Linked DNA regions of Pelodiscus sinensis. The protein of the gene in region 1 purifies or fractionates together with the protein of each later gene. This does not show direct contact. Links are inferred from orthologs where the notes say so. Each region holds a gene or a part of one and is shown on either strand. Other genes may lie near its edges.

Evidence for each region.
Region 2: the proteins of LRWD1 (region 1) and ORC5 purify together in Homo sapiens (affinity purification with mass spectrometry; 4 studies listed by BioGRID and IntAct, with this or other methods). This does not show direct contact. The link is inferred for Pelodiscus sinensis from reciprocal best matches to the Homo sapiens genes LRWD1 and ORC5.

The regions. Positions count from the first base shown.
Region 1 is NC_134731.1:15,872,478-15,882,661, reverse strand, and holds the start of LRWD1 (leucine-rich repeat and WD repeat-containing protein 1), read left to right. Parts: upstream 1-5,289; 5' UTR 5,290-5,304; coding exon 5,305-5,386; intron 5,387-6,105; coding exon of another isoform or gene 6,106-6,219; exon of another isoform or gene 6,220-6,339; intron 6,340-8,735; exon of another isoform or gene 8,736-8,739; coding exon 8,740-8,881; intron 8,882-10,184. Other genes in the region: alpha-ketoglutarate-dependent dioxygenase alkB homolog 4, read right to left, coding at 424-548, 3,387-4,032, 4,450-4,647, 6,106-6,219. UniProt on the Homo sapiens protein: Required for G1/S transition. Recruits and stabilizes the origin recognition complex (ORC) onto chromatin during G1 to establish pre-replication complex (preRC) and to heterochromatic sites in post-replicated cells.
Region 2 is NC_134711.1:24,344,122-24,354,113, forward strand, and holds the start of ORC5 (origin recognition complex subunit 5), read right to left. Parts: upstream 5,087-9,992; 5' UTR 4,957-5,086; intron 4,922-4,956; exon of another isoform or gene 4,833-4,921; intron 1,510-4,832; 5' UTR 1,428-1,509; coding exon 1,317-1,427; intron 1-1,316. UniProt on the Homo sapiens protein: Component of the origin recognition complex (ORC) that binds origins of replication. DNA-binding is ATP-dependent. The specific DNA sequences that define origins of replication have not been identified yet.

The DNA.
Region 1 (10,184 bases):
TGTCCCCTCACCAGAGATCCCTCGGGTGCTCTGGGCTACACACTTTGGTGCACAGGAACTGTAGGACAAGGGCAGCCCCAGCGGGTTGCAGGCCTATGAAGGATGCCGCAGTCCCCCAGCAGGCTTCCCAGGAAGCTGTGCCCTTGGCCTGCTGCTCAGATGAGATTCCATTGCTGCCCAGCTGATTAGCAGAGTGCCCACAGCCCGCAGTATGTGTTTGGATTGGTGGTGCACAGCTGCATGCCCTCCCCGGTGCACAGAACAACATTTATTCTGCACAGGGGTGGGGAAAAATAGAGGGAAGTAATCCCCGCACCCGCCCTCCTGATCTGCAGCCCCCTGGGCGGGTGCCCTCTTCCCAGCTGCCCTTAGACCTGCTATGGCCTCTGCCACATCCCTACCCCCACCGCCCCCGCAGCGCACTCACTCAGCAACAGACCACTCCGACCAGCAGGTGGCGCCGCAGGGCCGGGCAGGGAGCCCCGCTGGCCTCTCCTCTCTACGGCGGGCGCGGGGCGGGGCCTGGCGCGCGGACTCGGAAGTGGGGGGGGGGGGGGGCGCCCAGCCAGGGCGGAGGTGAGGGAGGGGCGGGTTTACTGAAGCCTCAGCGTTCCCCCCCCCGCCCCGATAACGGGTCGCCACGGGGGTCTCGGTGACCCCTTCGCCCAGCCCGAAGCGGCCCCGCGGGGCAGGCCCGGCAGGCAGGGTCTAGAGCTCCCCGCCCGCGCGCGGCTCCGTGTGGCGTGGGGTACGCGCGCGGCGGTGTGTGTGTGTGTGTGTGTTGGGGGGGTTCCCGTGTGTGGGGTGTACACGTGTTTGTCCTTGCGTGGCGGGGATGTGTGTGTGGGGGGGTGCGTACGTGTGGAGGTGGACACGGAGGGGGCGTGTGTGTAGGGCGTGCTCGTGTGTGTGTTGGGAGTGTGGGGCGGGCCCGTGGCTTTCCCAGCCCTGCCAAGGCACGTTTCCCTGGGGGGTGGGCTGCACACACAGAGCAGCCTTCTGCTTCCCAAAGAATATTCGCCTGTCTCAGCAGCTTAGGGGTGGGGGCTCCTGTTCGGTTTCTCCATGACAAGCCCCATTTCTACAGCACTTATGGGGCCCCCCTCACCACAGTGTCTGGGCATCTGCGTATTCCCATCCATGCCTTATTGCAGTGCCCTGGTGACATAGCGAAGCATTATCCTGTCCATAGGCGGAGAAAATATGACAGGGTGGCATAACATCCATGGGAGAGATGGGAGTTGAATAGTGATCTTGGAGTACCAGTCCGGTGTCTGAGCTCTAAACACTAGGGCTGTGTCTAGACTGGCCAGTTTTTCCGGAAAATCAGCCGCTTTTCCGGAAAAATTTGCCAGCTATCTACACTGGCCGCTTGAATTTCTGCAAAAGCACTGACTTCCTACTGTCTGAAATCAGAGCTTCTTGCGGAAATACTGTTCTGCTCCCGTTCAGGCAAAAGTCTCTTTCACACAAAAGGGCCAGTGTAGACAGCTCAGATTTGTTTTGTGCAAAAAAGCCCTGATCGTGAAAATGGCGATCGGGGCTTTTTTGCAGAAAAGCGCGTCTAGATTGGCATGGACGCTTTTCCGCAAGAAGTGCTTTTGCAGAAAAGCGTCCGTGCCAATCTAGACACTCTGTTCAAAAAATGCTTTTAATGGAAAACTTTTCCGTTAAAAGCATTTCCGGAAAATCATGCCAATCTAGACGCAGCCTAGGGCTGTGTCTACACTGGTGCGATCTCACGCAAAAGCGGCAGCTCTTGTGCAAAAACTTGCTGCCTGTCTACACTGGCCGTGTGTTCTTGCGCAAGTAAACTGATGTTCTAATGTATAAAATCAGGGCTTCTTGCGCCAGAACTCTGACGCTCCCGCTCAGGAAGAAGCCCTTTTGCGCAAGAGCTCTTCCAGAAGAGGCCAGTGTAGACAGGTAACATGAATTTCTTGTGCAAGAAAGCCCTATGGTTAAAATGGCCATCAGAGCTTTCTTGTGGAAGAGTATCTACCCTGGCATGGATTCTCTTGCGCAAAAGCACATGCCAGTGTAGACACTCTCTTGTGGAAGAGTTTTTGCACAAGAACTCTTCTGCAAAAGAGTTCTTGTGCAAGAAGCTGCCAGTGTAGCCATAGCCTTCATATTCTGTCCCCCTACTTCACTCACCCACAGGCTGCTTCCATCTTCTTGTAATGCTACAGAATAGCAGACTCATACCTTGATCCTCTGGTTTGCAACAAAAGCAAGCCCTGAAGATGACTGAGGATTCACAGCAAGGATCTATGCAGACTTGGTGCAGCCATGATTATTGTTATTATTTCTGTAGCACTATATTAGACTCATGAAACTGTGTCTACGAGGGGTTTGGGGATGGTCCAGTGGTTAGGATATAAGCCTCAAACTTGGGAAACTATGTTTCTTCTTGCAATACTTCAAACTTCCTGTTTGACATTGGGTTGGTCGCTTAGCTCCTCTTTGCCTCTATTCCCTGTCTTGAAAATTGGAATAATAATAGCTAGCTGTTATCAAGTGCTTGAGATCAGTATATGTCAAAGCACATTACAAAGGAAAAACAATGGAGAGTCCTGTGGTAAATTAGGGTATGTCTACACTACCCCCCTAGTTTGAAGTAGGGGGGTTAATGTAGTCATACGGAGTTGCAAATGAAGCCCGGGATTTGAACTTCCTGGGCTTCATTTGTATGATCCCAGCCGGCACCATTTTTAAATGCCAGCTAGTTCGGACTGCGTGCCGTGCGGCTACACGCGGCACGAATTAGGCTTCCTAATCCAAACTAGCTGTACGCCTCATGGAACGAGTAGGAATAAGAGATCCTCCGGAAAAGGGCTTTTTTCCGGAGGATCGGGGCCAGTGTAGACGCTCTTTTCCGGCTTTTCTAAAAGCCGGAAAAAAGCGGCGGACATTTTTATTTAAATGCCGCGGGGGATATTTAAATCCCCCGCGGATTTCCCTATCACGAAGTGTCAAATTAGCATGCCCCTTTCGGAAAAGGGGCCAGTGTAGACGCAGCCCTTAGGTTTAAGTGATTAAAGTGGTTTGTTTAACTATAATGAAATGCAAAGTAGTAAAGAACAAAAGTATAATAGTCAATTTCTGATTCTCATCCAACAGCTAACACTACAATGTTTGCATTGTGATACTGTCAGGGCAGGCTTATTTTAAAAGCAGCTGCGCTTCTTCAATCTATGGTAATGTTGTAACATTTCCATGAGATCTAATTTTTATATTTTACATAATTTGGTCCTTTAAACAGCCTCCAAATAAGACAGTGATAAACTGCAAAAATTCTGAACTTTATTTTTTAATTATTCAAACAATTCATAATTCCAGGTTTCTCTCTCATGCTTACACTGGTTTTCCTTGAAATGTCAGGGCTATTTCCAGGAGTTCTTTACCCAGTTTTTCCTGCTCTCCTCCCAAAGCGAACTCTGCAGACAGCTCCCTGAAGGTGACACAGACCCGGCGATGCTCTATATGCTTGCGGTATATTGCATGCTTCCACTTATACCGTGCATCTCCAAATAGTACAATCAGGGATCTTCTAGGTAAGTGAATGTCTACAGTAACTTTTTTGTATGGAATAAATCTTGAGGAAAACAAGTAGTTAATATCCCAACTGGCTAAATTTTCACATACTGTTGTGGAAGGAAGGTGGTTTTGTTTGTGGCTCTGGGAAGCTTGAGGTGAGGCAGAGGGATTTGATTCCCCCATTGCTTGCTTGTGATTGGCAACTAACTGGAGACCATCCTCTGATTCACAAGACATGGACAGCACCGTTTTTGAGAGTAAATTTAAGCTAACCAGTCGCTCCCCCCAAAGCCACCAGTCATCAAAGTGTGGGTCAATGGCAGAACCTCTTTCTGGTAGATAGTCCAGGTTACACTGCTCAACAGGAAAGAAGTCTTCTAATGCAGAATGAGCCTTCATTCGCTGTACAATCTCCTGGCTAAAACTGGGCAAGCCAAAGAAGCCACCAGTTTTCAGCTTCTTTTTCTTAAAGTTCACTTTGGGCCCATAGTCCTGTTGAAAAGGAAAAGCAGATGATGATAAATAAAAATGTGGGTTATGCCCTTTTAGAGAGGCACTATCCTCTGGACAAACTGGGGAGCCCTGGGCATCTTGGGTTCTGTTTCTACCTTTGCCAGTGACTTATCAGAAGATGATCTGCACCAGTAAGATAGCCCCATGAAAGTCATAATACTTTTGGATTCAAGTTTTCCTGCTTGTGCACATCAATGTGGTTTGAGATTGTTTCAATGTGCAATATCAAGCGTGATTCACTATAGCTATCACAAATGCACTCTTGAGAGAAATTAATTTCAAATATTTGTTATTTCAGAAAGAATCAATTTAATGAAAACATTAAACCTAAAGCATGATTTTTGTTAAGTGAAGAAATAATCTTCCCCTGAAGGAAACCTATTTCTGGACTCAGACCTGCTTCCTTCGGCCAGATTGTGATAGTTTCCAGTCATCTTGATCCATCAGCTGAACCATTTTATATTCCTCATCTTGGCTTATAAATTCCTCCAGCAAGAACACTCCTGGAAATGGAAATGCCCAGCCAGCAAACTCTGAACATTCATTTCCTACAGCCAGACCTGTTGCTGGACAATAAGTGAAGTTACCTTTTTCCTGCAGAAATAAAAAAGGACACAGCAAAATAAGACATTGCCATTGTATCTGTTGTTATAGGTTAGATACATGTTAAGAGTTGAACAGTTGTACTGTTTCTCTTCAGGGAAATGTCACTCTCCTTTTACAGCTGTATCTCTGCAACTTTCATTCTTTAACAGTAATACCTTTATAGCGCAAGCTGCCACTGGATAAAAAATCACCAAGCTGTGCTTTCTTAAAATACAGTGTATATTTGAGGGGTTATTGCTCCTCTTCCATCCCTCAGTGTTCCGAGTTGTAGCCAACTACACTGGGTGATGGACTTCATGCAAAACCCTCTACAAAACCAACAACACCTCTACTGATGCTACTGGTTAGAGTAACAGAAACCTATGCTTTAAACTGGATCCACGGTCTAGTGCACTAACCAGCAGGCTGCTCTCAAACTATTTTGCATGTCTTTCCTGCCCCTAGCTCTAGTTGAGATGTGAGCAACTGCTACTGGACTGAACGTGGTTTGGCCAACTGGAGTGCTCCAATTGTATAGCTAATGACTTTCTTGATGCCTTTGATACAGGCCTAAAGAGGGAGAGATCCAAATCAGGCTGGAATATCCTGGTGTTAACTCTTTGTCTACACTACAGCTTTTAGCAACGCAGTCCTTTTGGCACGGCCATGTTGGTAGAAGTTGGACACCGTAGCTGCTGCCTGTCAGCACACTTGCAGACAAAATACTTTCACCTCCCAAAAGCAGCGGGTGAGTGTTCCTGCTGACCACGTGCTGTTCACACTGACGCTTGCCATGGCAAATCTTCTGGGGAATGTTAGCATGTGTGAATGGTAAAATTTTGTTGCTCAGGTGCCAGTGTAGGTATCAAAGCAACAGCTACTGACTGGCCTACAGGGGAGGTTGTGGCCCCATCCTCTGCAGGCAGAGGCTCAGTAGCATCCTCCCTGCTCAGGCAGCTCTCAATGTCACTCTCATGCATAAAAGCTTCAGCAGGGTTGCTGAGTTAGTCTGGAACTGGAAAAACTTAAACAAGGAACAGTCCTGCAGCATCTTAAAGGCTAATACCATTTGTGTGTTTTGTTAGCCTTTAAGGCGCTGCAAGACTAGTCCTTAATCTCATGCATCCTAGGCCTGGTGTTGCCTGAAGCTAGCTCCAATACCCTCCCCTCATGCTCTGGAAATGCGGGGGGCTGAGCTTGTGGGGTTTCCTCCGAATGGAAGCAGCCTGTTTAGCAGCCCCCCCAGCCTTTAGCCTCTCTCTCGAGCAAGGGTGGGGGGCAGGCAACAGCCGCCCCCTCTGCCACTCTCTGGTGCCCGAGGGCAGCCAGGGACAAGAGGCACTGTGCCTGCCCGCCCCCCCCTCTCAGCCCGCCCCATCCACTTACACCAACTCACCCCCATCTGCCCCCCCCCGCGCCCCTTTGTCCCATCCCTCGGCGCCCCCTCCCGGTCCCTCCCCCCGCTACCTGCGGGGGCGGAGCGGCCGGCGCGGGCCCCTCGCAGAGCAGGCAGGAGCGGATCCCCTTGCAGCCGCAGGCGGGCCCCGCTCCCCCGCCGCCTCCGGCTCCCCGCGCCTCCATCCCGCGGGGAGAGGCGCCGCTCGGGCCCCGGACCCGGATCGCCGCCCGCCGGGCTGCGCGCCCCCCCGGCTCCGTCGCGGCGGCGGGGCCCAGCGCGGCAGCGCGCGGCCCCGGCGGCAGGTGAGGGGACGGGGCACGCGGGGGGGGAGGGCGCCGCAGGGGAGGGGGAGGGACACCCGGGCTCCACGACCCGGCTCCGGCAGGCTCGGAACCGAGCCGGCCGCCCCCACGCCAAACTCGCTTTCCCAGCAGCCCGCGGGGCGGGCGGCCAAGCCACAGGGCCGAGCTGGACCCCGGGGGGTGCTGGGAGTTGTAGTTCTCGCCCTTTTCCGGCCTTAGCTGTCCGCCCGCCCCAGCCTGGCACACGGGCTCTCCTCCCCTCCCCCACTCACCACGGGCAGGACTGGCCTGGGCCATGAGGCTCTTCCCCCTCCCCCCACGGGCAAAGCTGCATGGGCCATGGGCTCCCCCCCCCCCGCTCCCTGTCAGGGCCGGCATGGGCCATGGGGCACTGCGCCCCACCTCCCCTCCACTAGCAAGGCCGGCCTGGGCCGTGAGGGTCTGCGGCCCCTCCCCCTCCCGGCCAGGGTCCCGAGCCAGAGCTGGCCTGGGACATGGGGGTGCTGGCCCCTCCACCCCCCTCCCCTGTTTCAGGCAGGGTTCTGAATCGGGACTGAGCTGGGACGTGGGGACATGCCCATGGCGGCTCTGCACCCCCAGACCTACCCTGGACCCGACCAGAACACAACACGGTCACAAACGCATTTGTTAACGTGGCCTGGTCTGCAGCTGGACCAGAACACAAGGACCCAGCTGCGGCCATATGTCACAGAGCTCGGCGCCCTATCTGGGCCAGAACATGCTGGTGCCACATCTCGCTGGAACTGGATCTGGACACAGCGACGTAGCCCTGAGCTGGAACTGAATAACCGGAACTGAACTGGAAGAGGAGGGCTTGATCACTGCCCCTGACATGGCCATGCAAATCCACAGCAGACCTGGACCAGGCCACTGTCACCCAGTCACAGCCCTGCAACTGCTAACACAGCAGCATAGTCCCTTGCGGTCACTGGACCGGACCGTGGCAGCCTGATCACAGCCACAGAACCCCTAGCACAGCAGTGTTGCTCTGAGCTGGAAATGGAGTGGCACAGGGTGGCTAGGCCACAGCCCCATGGAGTGGTAATCTAATCCCACCTCAGAACTGGATCGAAACAGGGTGACTCAGTCACAACCACGTGACCTCTCCCTGGTAATGCAATCTCCATCCAGACTTGTATTGGAACACCGCGATAGAATCGTGGTGACCTAGTCACAGTCATACAACCCATAGTAAGGCAACACAACCTGCACTAGAACTGAACCAGAACACCCTAACCCGGTCACAACCACATGGCAACTCAACCCTTTGCTGGACTGGACCTGGCACTGGACCAGGTCTCAGTCACACAGTCACAGCCATGCCACCCGTAACATGAGAACACAATCCTGCATTGGAACTGGACCGGATCATGGTGATGCGACCATAGCTAGGAACCCATCATGGGGCAATGCTGTTTTGAACCAGAACTGTATCAGAGCAGGATGTTGCAGTTACAGCTTCCCATGAACCTGTCACATGGCAATGCAGCTCTGTGCTAAAACAGTGACAGCCTCTCAGACTTGGCCTGTAACATACCAATGCAGTGTTGTCCTGAGTCAGAACTGAACCAGTCACAGTCACTTGGCCCATAATGTAGCAACACAGTCTTGATTAGAACATGATGTTGGGGACACGGTGCCATGGCCGCCGCTTCCAGCCCCACATGGGGCTGCCAGCTCCCAGCCTGTGTGGAGGTCTGGCGGACCTGGAGCAGCCCTCTGCCTGCAGTGGGCTGTGATCAGGGGCCTGCTCCCTGTGGTATGAGTTAACCGTTACCCGATAAGCATCACCTGATAAGAGCGATGCTTACTGGGTAACCAGTTACCGAATAATATCCCTACTCGTGACCACACAGACCCCCGATGGGCCACATTTGGCTGCTGAGCCAAGGTTGCCCACCACTGAGCTAGTTTGATTAGTTTTGCAATATTTTAGGAATTTAAGGATTGCCAGCCTGGATCCAGCTAGCGGTCTTTGTAGTCTGGTATCCGATCCAGTGGCCAGTAAAATTTCAGAGGAAGAAACCTTGCAGCAGGCAGATATTGTTTATGACTTGCATAGCAACTAAGAGCTCTGGTCATGCACAGAACTAAGAGGTGGTCCCTGTGCCAGTTTGCAATGTAGGATACAACTGACCCACAGTATCACGAGTGGTTTTATTACTAGCATTGTGACAGTCGGGGCAGGTGATGTGAAATGTATGTCCAGTTTGGTAAATGTTTATGATTGTTTTGCAAGGCTGGATTATTAAATTACCTAATAAACGTCTGATTTATCAACAAAAAAAGGAGTAGTTGCACCATCACCTTTTCTTTCATTCTTGTTGAGAAAAAGTTTTACAGGACTCCTCCTAATTCTTGTTTCTTTCACCAAGAAAGTTCCTGGAAGACATTTTACCGCTGTCAGCTTTGTGCTCCCAGGAAAGTGGCAGAAACTAACCATGTCCAAAGTTACTACAGAGCTTCTTTTGGAAAGAGCGGTTCCAAGATCTACTAGGCTCCGGAAGATTGAGACTCTGAAGTAAGTGCAAACCAGACTCTGAATAAAATTCCAGTTGAATCCCACTTGGGCTTGCTTTCTTTAGATAGGAAAATGAAACAACACACATGTCCATTATAAAAACACATGGGGTACGTCTAAACTACATGCCTCCGTCGACGGAGGCATGTAGATTAGCCAGATCGGCAGAGGGAAATGAAGCCGCGATTAAAATAATCGCGGCTTCATTTAAATTTAAATGGCTGCCCCGCTCTGCCGATCAGCTGTTTGTCAGCAGATCGGGGCAGTCTGGACGCGACGTGCCGACAAGGAAGCCTTTCTTGATCGGCACAGGTAAACCTGGTTTCACGAGGCATACCTGTGCCGATCAAGAAAGGCTTCTTTGTCGGCGCGGCGCGTCCAGACTGCCCCGATCTGCCGACAAACAGCTGATCGGCAGAGCGGGGCAGCCATTTAAATTTAAATGAAGCCGCGATTATTTTAATCGCGGCTTCATTTCCCTCTGCCGATCTGGCTAATCTACATGCCTCCGTCGACGGAGGCATGTAGTTTAGACGTACCCTTGGTGGTGTGATGGGGCTTTATCACCATTACAGGGTTGAATAGGCAAGAATTAGAAAGTCAGATTATCTGCAGGTGTAAGATCTTTGCCATCATGTATATTCTGCATATGCCATATGTGTTACTGCAAAACTATTAGGGAGCTGGCTTCTCATCTCCTTACATTAAGTAGCACTTTCCTACTTTGTCCTTAATGGGACCCATTCATGGAGTAAGGTACTGTGACTAAGCAGATCTGAATCCAGTTGATGGGGGCAGCAGAGCCTACAGCCAGCAGGGTAGGGAAGCCGACTGGGGCCAGAGCTTGTGGGGCAGTGGAGCCCACAGACGGCAGAACTGCTAGGAACTCCAGTGGGATGGCATGGCTGCTGCAAGGTTGGCAGGGCCAGCAGGAGCTCCGGAAGGGCGGTGGGGCTGGCGTGAGGTCGGCAGGAGCTCTGGAAGGGCTGCTGCAGTTTGCGGGGCTAAGAGGCTGGGGAGAGGAGCCCAGGTGGCCGGGGAGAGAAACTCAGTAGGGAGGCTAGTACTTCCCCCGCCCCCGGCCTTCCTTTGTCTGGAAAACTCCCTTGTCTGGGATTGGTCAGGTCCCAAGGAAGCTGGACCGGGGAGGTCCAACCTGTCCCTTAAGTTTAACTGTACTGGCCTTGTAGGTAGAGACTCTTTGGAAGCCTCTAAAAATTCTCATTGTGCAGTTGCTATCATAACCAGGGTGTACAAAAAATATTTTAAAATGTCTAAAGTAGCTTTTTCATGGCAATGTAGG
Region 2 (9,992 bases), on another chromosome or scaffold:
CTACAGACCAAAACAAAAAAGCATCACTATATAATATATACTACATAAGATACCACATGGCTAGAACAGAAGATATTGGAACAGGAGAGTAGACAGAAGAACAGAGAAAATCAGTGGGGAGGCAAATCTTCTCATCCCTCATACATAAAACTACGATTGTTTACCTAATACAGTAGTATCTGTTCAGTACAGGTTGTACCTCTAAAAACTGGCACTCTCTGATCCAGCCAACATCTGTGATCTGTCAAGGACCACGGATGCCCCTGGACCAGAGAACCTGGGAGTCTAAGGGCAGGAAGGATAGGTGTGCAAGGCATCATGGTTGGCAGCTGGGGACAGTGTCGGGCTCAGGCTGGAGCCCCAGCCCCACAGTTGCACAGGGCCACAGCCCCACAATAGGGGTACATCTAGACTGACAGCTTCTTTTGAAATAAGCTTTTTCGACAGAGCTCTTTCGAAAGAGAGCATCCACACCTCAAAACTAGATCAAAAAAGCAATCTGCTTATTCGAAAGTGAGCATCCAGACTGCATGGATGGTCTCTCAAAAGAAAGCCCTGACTGCTATTCACAGAAAGGCCACCAGGGCACCTGTGCTTTTTTCGTTGGCAGCTTCTTTCAAAAAAATGTCCTTGTTCTGCATCCACACACACCCTTTTTGGAAAGAGCTCTTTCAAAAAAGGCATTCTTCCTCGTAATTTGAGGTTTACCATGTCGAAAAAAACCCTGTGTTCTTTTGATTTAATTTCAAAAGAATGTGATTGCAGTGTGGACGCAGGTGAAGTTTTTCGAAAAAACAACGTAGTCTAGACATACCCTAGGAGGCTGAGCCTGTGATCAGTTTTACAGACACTATCTCAGAGTCTTATGGGCAGCAACAAGCTATCAAGATTCATGTTTCATGTTGTTTCTGTTGGGAAATCACTTACACAACAGCAGACAAGTACTAGAGTTATCCACACGAGAAGGCCACCCAAGAAAAGCAGAACTGTGAGAAGAGCAAGGATCTTTCCTATCACTACCTTGCAGCAGCCAAACATGACTAGCAGTGGAGAGCCAACTAATAGCAGCCCACAGGAAAAAATTTGCTATAAAGCTTCTGCTTGCTTAGGACAGCTAATGTTTTAAAGTTTATTAGACACATACTAGAGAAGACTGATACAAAAGATGCATAATATAAGATCTCAAATTACAAATATAATCAGCTAGGCTAACTCAGAATAACAATGCACTGAAGTCTGTTACCAACCCACCCATAACAAAAAAAATTATGGTACAACGTCTGATCTACTCAAAGGCACAATACAGAAAGAGTTACCTTGCCAAATACTGATAACAGTGATGACACCTGGGATTCTCGACAGGGCACCATACTTTCCAAGTGAAGTAAGGTAGCCTCTGGATACTCTGGATGTTCAAAATTAGGCATTTTGATTCACGTTTCTGTCACCAGTCAGCTAACTGTATATGTATGTCACCTTCCAATAGGAAAATAAGACCGAAGTGATGATCTGGAAAATAAAATGTTGTATTTGTTCATATACGGAGAAATGAAGTAAAAATAAATAAGAGGTGACAATCTTTCATTATAATCAGACTTTTTACCTAACAGGAATGACGACTATTAATATGATGGAAAAACGCAAAGACCTCATTCAGCACTGGGACCCAGTAATGCTAGCCTTATAAGGAAATAAAAGCAAAAGAGACAATAACTGCCCTAAAGGGTTTACAATTTTAAGACAAACAAAAAGGAGAAGTTGTGGATGCAACAAATGAGCAATGAACATGGTGAACAGCGGTCATGACTTTGCTAGTTACATGGATGCAGGTTTGTTTGTTTTAACTTTACTTTTTGAGAGTAAAGGTGCAAAGAAAAAGAGTAGAGAAAGAAAAGGAGAATAGTCTCAGCTGGTCATCTGCTTAGCCACAATTAACAAGCTGAGATTAGTAAACATCACAGCAAAAACCAGGTTTCAAAAAGAAGATAAAGAAGTGATTCTTCATATGTTATGTTGAGCATCAGGGACAGCATAGGCGAAAGCACAGAGGTTTTTAACAAGCAGCTAACTAATGGGTGATAAAGGATGGGAGCAAGCACTAGCAGAGTAAAAACATCATAATAGGCTGACATAATAGGTTACTAAATCAGTTAGATAGGAGGAGCTAAGTTAAGAGACGACTTTAAAGCAGGGGTCAGCAACCCATGGCTTGCGAGCCAAATATGGCTCACTAGGGAGCCAGATATGACTCTTTTGGAGACCCTACTCAGCCGCCTCCCAGCTCCTGCAGCAGCACTGAGCCAGAGCTGGCGCTACAGCCTTATGACCCCTACAAGACTGGAACGCCAGCACCAGCTTCCTGTGGGGGGAAAGGAGTGAGGAGGGAAAGCCCTGAGCCTCCCTTTCGGATCTTGCATGTGGGGAACAGACAGAATGAAAAATGGCTCCATGCACCATCCTTCCCCCCCGGTGCGGAACCAACGGCTGTGTGCCATTCTCTTTCCCTTAGGAAGCACTTCATGCAGGCTTCACCTGTGAATCCTGTCTAAAGACTTCCTTCCAGCACATGGGAGCAGCGGGGGGGCTATGTTACACTCAATGTGAAAGCACATAGTGCCCCCCAACCCTCATGCCCAAACCCCAAACTTCCCCTCACTCAGCCCCCCTCCCAGCTAGATACCCTGCCCCTAGCCCACTCCTGCCCCCGACCAGTAAGCCTGTCCTCAGCCCATTCCCCCACAGAACCCAACCTTGTGTCCTGCATGCCCCCACAACCCAACCTTGCACTGAGTCCATCATACACCCAAATCCTCTGCCCTGAGTCCCTCATGCACTTGCACCAAGACTCCTGCACGACCACATCCCCAGCCCCCGCCATAAGATTGACAAAAGACAGCCTGAATGCGTTCATAAAGCTGGATTTGACCAGTTATGATGTAAACTTCAAAGAAATGTGCAAAAAAATGCAGCAACGGAAGTCCCATTAAATAAAGTCCATGAGCACAAGGTTTCATTTATGCTATTAATCATTATGTCAATTATTAATAATATTAAATTGTATATTTTCTGTTATGCAAATGGGCATTCTTATCCGGCTCTTTGATGATCATTTGTTTAGAATTTTGAGACAGTTTGGCTGTTTGGTTTGAAAAGGTTGCCGACCCCTGCTTTAAAGGCACTACAAGAAGCTTTTATTTGGTGTCAAAATTAAGGGGGAGCCAATTGACAACGCAAACTAGGAATTAACATGATCAGAATGATGAACCAGAAATGCGGTCTTTAATTTGAATAGACTCAAGGCAAGCAAAAGTTGCAGCAATCAGGTCAACATGAGGACTATGATGAGAGTCTTCACTGAGCAGAGAAAAGAGACAAAAGGCTAGATTTTCAAGATCAGTGTTAAAAAAAAGGCAAGATTAAAAACATAGTGGCCCCATCAAAGATCACACCTAAACTACACTGCCTGAGTGACAGGGAGAACAGCAGTGTTGTCTATGCTGATAAAAGAAGATGGCCAGGTGAGAGAACCTGTGAGGAAAGGTTAAAAATCTCAGGTTTTGGCCATGTTTAGTTTAAAATAATGACTAAGAAGAAACAACCTGACATAGGACTGGATGAAGCAAGATACCTCATTAGCTGAGAGGAGGATCTATGATTTATCAATGTAAAGATGATACACTAAGAGCTTTACAAACATTAAAATACCCACGAGGCAAATCCTTTTTATGAGCAATGAAAGGAGAGCACGCAGCATCCCTGTTTCTGCACTGGGAAATGGGAAACGGGAAACCAAGCCGTCTTGACTCTCAAGGTTTACCTCCCATTTTTCTACCATTAAAATGTGTGAAACTGCATCTTGACACCATGCTATAAGTCGAACCTCTGTAATCTGGGATTCCCTGGTCCGGCAATATCCGTTGTCCAGCAGGACCACAGATATTCCTGTACCTGAGAGTCCCGGTGGAGGGCTGACAGCTGGGTTCCCCACAGGTGGGCTGCTTGGTGCCCTGCATCTGGACAGCCAGGCACAACCCAGCAGAGCTGGAAGCCCAGAGTGCCACAGCAGGGCTGCCCAATGGGGCCAGGAGCCCAGCACACAGGGAGCTGGGCTGACCATCATAGTAGGAAAGGAAGGAGGTGTTGGGACCAGCGAGGCTGGTGGCAAGAGGAATACTGCCAGGAGGCTGGTCCAGCAAAACCCCTCATCCAGGACTGGTCAGGTCCCGAGGGTAGCAGACCAGAGAGATCCACCCTTCATTTGCATGGCTATATCATGACATCACAATAGTGCACCAGGACAATACAATCACCTCATTGTGCCACCTCCTAAAGGCACTTTACTATATGCCACTAAAAACCCAGGACTCATCAGACAACTGACCCTGCAGCTCAAGACTTTGCTGCAAGCTTCGAACATGGTGGTTACTTTCCCACTAGCACCCATGCAATAACCCCCTCAGTCTCTGGGGAGGCAATTCACTCCTGCACCCCTGCTCCAGCCAGCACCCTGTGATTGTCAGGGCGGGGGAGGGGGGATCGCTGCGGCCATTGCCACCACAACCACCCCCCACACACACAGAGCAACGCCGCCCAGACCCACGCCTAATGCTGCGGGTGTGAAGAGGCGGAGTAGACATGAAAACAGACCCCAGCTCCGCCCACACTTTAACCCAACAGGCAGCGGCACCCCCCTGAAGCGGACAGCCCCGGCTTGGGCAACCCACACCCCGTGCCCAGCGCGCCGCAACTCCTCCCTCCCTCCCTCCCTCCCTCCAGGTCCTGCCGTGTTGGGGCAACCCTGACTCTGTCCGCCGCTCAGGCCCTCCGCTGACCCAGAGCCCTGGCAGCACCGCAGCTCTTCTCACAGCGCGCGAGCCTAGGCAAGACGCGCGCGCATTCTCCCTTCTCCCCCCGCCTCCCGCAAACGTCCGCCAACACACAGAACCGGACACTCACCCCGAACCCCAACGGTCACGCTGCTTTCGCGGGCGAGGACTCCGAACCGAGCGCCCGCCTTTGCGCATGCGCACATTGCTCCGATGGTTACCCCCCTCCCTCCCGAATGCGCAAGCGCCAACTCTGCACATGCGCGTTAGGAAATTGAAGTTTCCCCTGGTAACCACGCCCATACTGCGCCCGCTCCCAAGCGTAAAGCCAGAAATTTGTGTGGCTTAGGGTTGAACAAGAGCAATGGGGGAGCCGACAGCCTCGCTGGGCCCTGAGCAATTGGGGGGAGGGGAAGGTCGCTATCGTGGAAGAGCCGCCCCAACCATGGAACGCCCCCACCCTCAGCGCTGCCGGGGGTTCCAGCGGTGCTTTAAAGGGCCCCTTCCCCCCTCTCCCAGAGCCCGAGGGCAGTGGATGTTGGGCTCCAGAGAGAAGAGGAGCAGTAGGATGGCAGAAGACAAGGAGGAGCCTGGGGACAGGGCTCACCTGACTATCTAGGCCAGGGGTGGGCAGTAATTTTTGACGAGGCCACTCCAAGATTTTGGAAAAAGTAGTCAAGGGCCTCGCTCTTCCATGATATTAATGGAAGAGGTGCAAGGTCTGGGATGGAGGCTGGGTGCAGAAGGGAGCTTGGGGTAAGGGCTTGGGGTGCAGGAGTGAGAATGCGTAAAGGAGGTGGTTGTGACCTAATGGAGGGGACTGGGATGCAAGGTTTTAGGATGTGACCTAGGGTAGGAGTGGATTATGATCTGGTGCAGGAGATTGGGGGGGGGCAGATCTGGGAGAGAGGGTTGGCAAAGGGAGGGGCTGGGGTGCTAGAGGCAGGCTCTGGCCAGGAAACTCACAAGCCAGCAGCCAAATCTGCCTTCCTGCGGATCTTAAAATGTTTCTCTGTCAGCCAGCTTGCACCTAGCCATGTGTTTCTGTGAATAACAGCTGGAGGGGAAGGGGGGTGGTGCTTCCTGGCTGCCTGTTATTCAGACAGGCTGCTCTCATTGGCCAGTTTCTGGCCAGAAACCAGCCAATGGGATTGTGCTGGGGGCAGGGGCACTGCCTGAAGCTCACCCCTCCCTCCTTCCAAGATTACAGTTTTGCAAGGAAAAGAGGGTCAAATAGCCACATTTCTGAACAGCCTGCTGGGCAAGCAGGGGAGCTGCCTAGGTCTCCCTGGTGCCTCTGTGAGCTGGATCTGGTGGGATTGGCCGTATTTTTCCCAGGCCTGATCTAGGTGGTCACTTAGGGCACCAGGCTTTAAGGATTGCTAAACTAGATGGCAGTGATTTTTTTTCCCTTTAAACAAAGTGTCACATTGCTGGATCTTGAGGGGAGCAGCCAGATCACTGATGCACCCATAGGTGGGGGTGTTGGCCCCAAAAATGGTATAGAAGGGGGCCATGTGAGGTATTGAATATCTGATAATCCTATGTACGCTGTTCATGTGTTTGTATAATGTCTGTGTGTGCAATTATTAACATGTACTTGTGTGGACACTGAAGATTTCCCTGCATGTGGTTAAGCATTGGGCAGGGCCGAGCCTGTGGAGCCTGTGGACATGCTAATTACCTGTGGAACAATGGCTCTCAATGGGCCAAAGACACACCCAAAGAATGGGGGCTGTCACCTGAGAGCAGCCAGCAGGGAACACAGAGAGGCTGAGGACCAGGTGACCTGCTGCATACCAGAAGAGGCCAGGAAGGAGGTATAAAGAGGCCATGTGGTCGATGCCATTTTGTTCTCAGCTCAGCACTTCATCCCAGAGGCAGCACTGCAGGGATCGAAGAGCCCGGAAGACCTGTGAACCCATCCTGATCTTAGGATGTGCAATAAGAACTTTTAAACCAGCAGCTGCAACATCTCTGCTAGAGCCTGCATCGAGAACTGGGAGATTCGGTGCATGTAATGTACTGTACTTTAATAACCTTACTCTCATGCTTTTCTTTCTTATGTTAATAAACCTTTAGTTGTTAGATGCTAAAGGATTGGCCCAGTGTGATTTGTGGGTAAGGTCCAAAGGATAAATTGGCCAGAGATCTGTGGCTGATTTCTTGGAACCGGACAGAACTTGTTCGGGGTAGGTGGGATTGGGTGCTAGGACCCCCCAGCTGTGTATGAGGTCCGGGGCCATCTGGGGCATGGTTATTGCTGGGGTGTCGGAGGAGTTTTGCTTGTGAGGCTTCAGGCAGGCTGCTGAAGCGTTCTGTGGGACTGGTTTGTGGCCTGTATGGAGAGGTCACAAGTCTGGGGGCTGTAAGGAGCCCCGGATTTGAGCAATTCGCCCTGAGCAGACGCCCTCAGCTGTGCCCAGACATGGCCCGGTCCGTCACACAAAGTTGTCTCTGTGACGGGGTAAGGTCACGGAAGACCCCTTGGGTGTGCCCCCCAGAGTACTGACATGGCCACTGCCACTCACCTACCTACTCTCTGGGGCTTTTCACTGCCTGGTGCTGCTAGGCTAGCTCCACTTTTCTTCCCCCAGCCAAGGCCCTGAGCTCATATCCCTACTACCCCTCACCCCCCCATGAAGCAGTACCAACACTGAACCTATTCAGGTCCAAGGAGAGTGCAGTTTGGGGCCCAGCTTCCTGGGATACCACTCCCCCAAATGGGATCAAATCCCCAATTAATTACTTGGGTGAGCCCCCTTTAACAATGAAAGGGGGAATGTGCACATTGATTGCTCCCCCAGGTAATAATTGTTTACACTGGGCTTGATAGTAAGCAAAAGTGATTTTATTAAGTACAAGCAATAGGATTTAAGTGGTTATAAGTGAGAATAGTCAGCGCAAAAAAGATTACAAACTCAAAAGTAACAGGCGCTTAGCTAATTCTGACACAAAAATCCTCAGCACAAACTTACTATAAACTCACCTTAAAACTGTTTCTGTTCCAGGTGCACCTTCAAAACCAGGACATTTCCACTTTGCCTAGGGTCTCTGGTTCATCCTCCCTGGGTGTGTCGAGCCAGCCCAAAGACCTAGACTCCTCTTTGTCTATTCTTTTTAAAGAATTCCCTTAGGGTGCGTCTAGACTGGCAAGATTTTGCGCAACAGCGGCTGTTTTTGTGCAAAAACTTGCCAGCTATCTACACTGGCAGCTTGAATTTGCACAAGAGCACTGACTTTGTAATGTACAAAATCAGTGCTTCTTGCGCAAATACTTTCATGCTCCCGCTCGGGAAAAAGCCCTCTTGCGCAAGAATACTTGTGCAAGAGGGCCAGTGTAGACAGGGAAGAACTGTTTTGCGCAAAAAAGCCCCGATGGCTAAAATGGCGATCGGGGCTTTCTTGCGCAAAATCGTGTATAGACTGGCCATGGGTGCTTTTGCGCAAAAGCATCCGTGCCAATCTAGACGCGCTTTTGCGGAAGTACTTTTAACGGAAAAACTTTTCTGTTAAAAGTATTTCCGCAAAATCATGCCAGTCTAGACACACCCTTATTGTATGGGGAGTCATCTGGTCCCTCCCAACTATCACTACTAAGCCTTAAGGACAAAAGGCAATAGCATATGATTGCCCAGACACTGAGGCCCCACTTGATGCCTTTCCATCTACATATTTTAAAAACAAAATAGTCTCTACTCCATGTGTCTAATTTCACACACAAGAGTGATACATACACCAAAATAAACAGAACCAGCGGATTTTGACATGAAGGTTGATAGGTTACATGAAATAATTTGTTCAAAGCATCTATGAGTAAAATATATTTATGTCCAGAAGTCCATTTCATAAAGCATGGGTTGATGGTCCATCACACTCTCATAAACCAAAATATCCAATATTATATGTGTAAAACAGTGCATCATTGCCATGTCAGAAACTGAGTTATTGTTTATTTCACATTGTAAACACAGCTGTGCATGAAAATACAGATGGCAAAGCTTCAAAAGAGTGCCACCGGTGTTTGCTGCCTAGTGGTGAGGTCTGGCAGTTCAGTCATTCTCAGTAGCCCACTCCTAGGCTGTCTACACATTGGCATGATTTTGCTGCCTGTCTACACTGGCGGGGAGTTCTTGCGCAAGAACACTGATGTTCTAATGTGTGAAATCAGTGCTTCTCGCACAAGAACTATGATGCTCCCGCTCAGGAATAAGCCCTCTTGCTCAACTGTTCTTGCGCAAGAGGCCAGTGTAGACCGGCAACATGAATTTCTTGCGCAAGAAAGCCCGATGGCTACACTGGCACGGACGCTCTTGCGCAAAAGCACGTGTCTTGCGCAAAGGCACATGCCAGTGTAGACGCTCTCTTGCACAAATACTTTAACGTAAAAACTCTTGCGTTAAAAGTATTTGCGCAAAATCTTGCCAATGTAGATGTAGCCATACAGTTCATAGAGTGCTAGAACTGAAAGGGACCTCAAGAGATCAAGTCCAGTCCCCTGCCCTCATGGCAGGGCCAAGTACTGTGGAGAATAGATCATCCCTGATAGATATTTAACCTGTTCTTAAATATCTCCAGTGATGGAGATTTCATAACCTCCCTAGGCAATTTATTCCAGTGTTTAACAACCCTGACAGAAAGCTTTTCCTAATGTCTAACGTAAACCTCCCTTGCTGCAATTTAAGTCCATTGCTTCTTGTCCTATCATCGGAGAACAAGGAGAAAATTTTTTCTCTCTCCCCTTTGTAACACCCTTTTAGGTACTTGAAAACTGCTCTCATGTCTCCTCTCAGTCTTCTCTTTTCCAAACTATGCATTTCCAATTATTTCAGTCTTCCTCATAAGTCATGTTTTCTAGATCTTTATTCTTTTTTTTTTTTTTTGCTCTTTTCTGGAACTTCTCCAGTTTCTCCGCATCTTTCTTGAAATATGGAGCCCAGAACTGAACATAATACTACAATTGAGGCCTAATCAGTGCAGAGTAGAGTGGAAGAATCACTTCTCATGTCTTGCTCACAACACTCCTGTTAATGCATCCCAGCATCATGTTTGCTTTTTTTGCAACAGTATTTCACTGTTGACTCATATTTAGCTTGTGATCAACTATGACCCCTAGATCCTTTTGTATAGACTGTTGCTAGATCCTTCTTAGACTGCCGCTTCCCA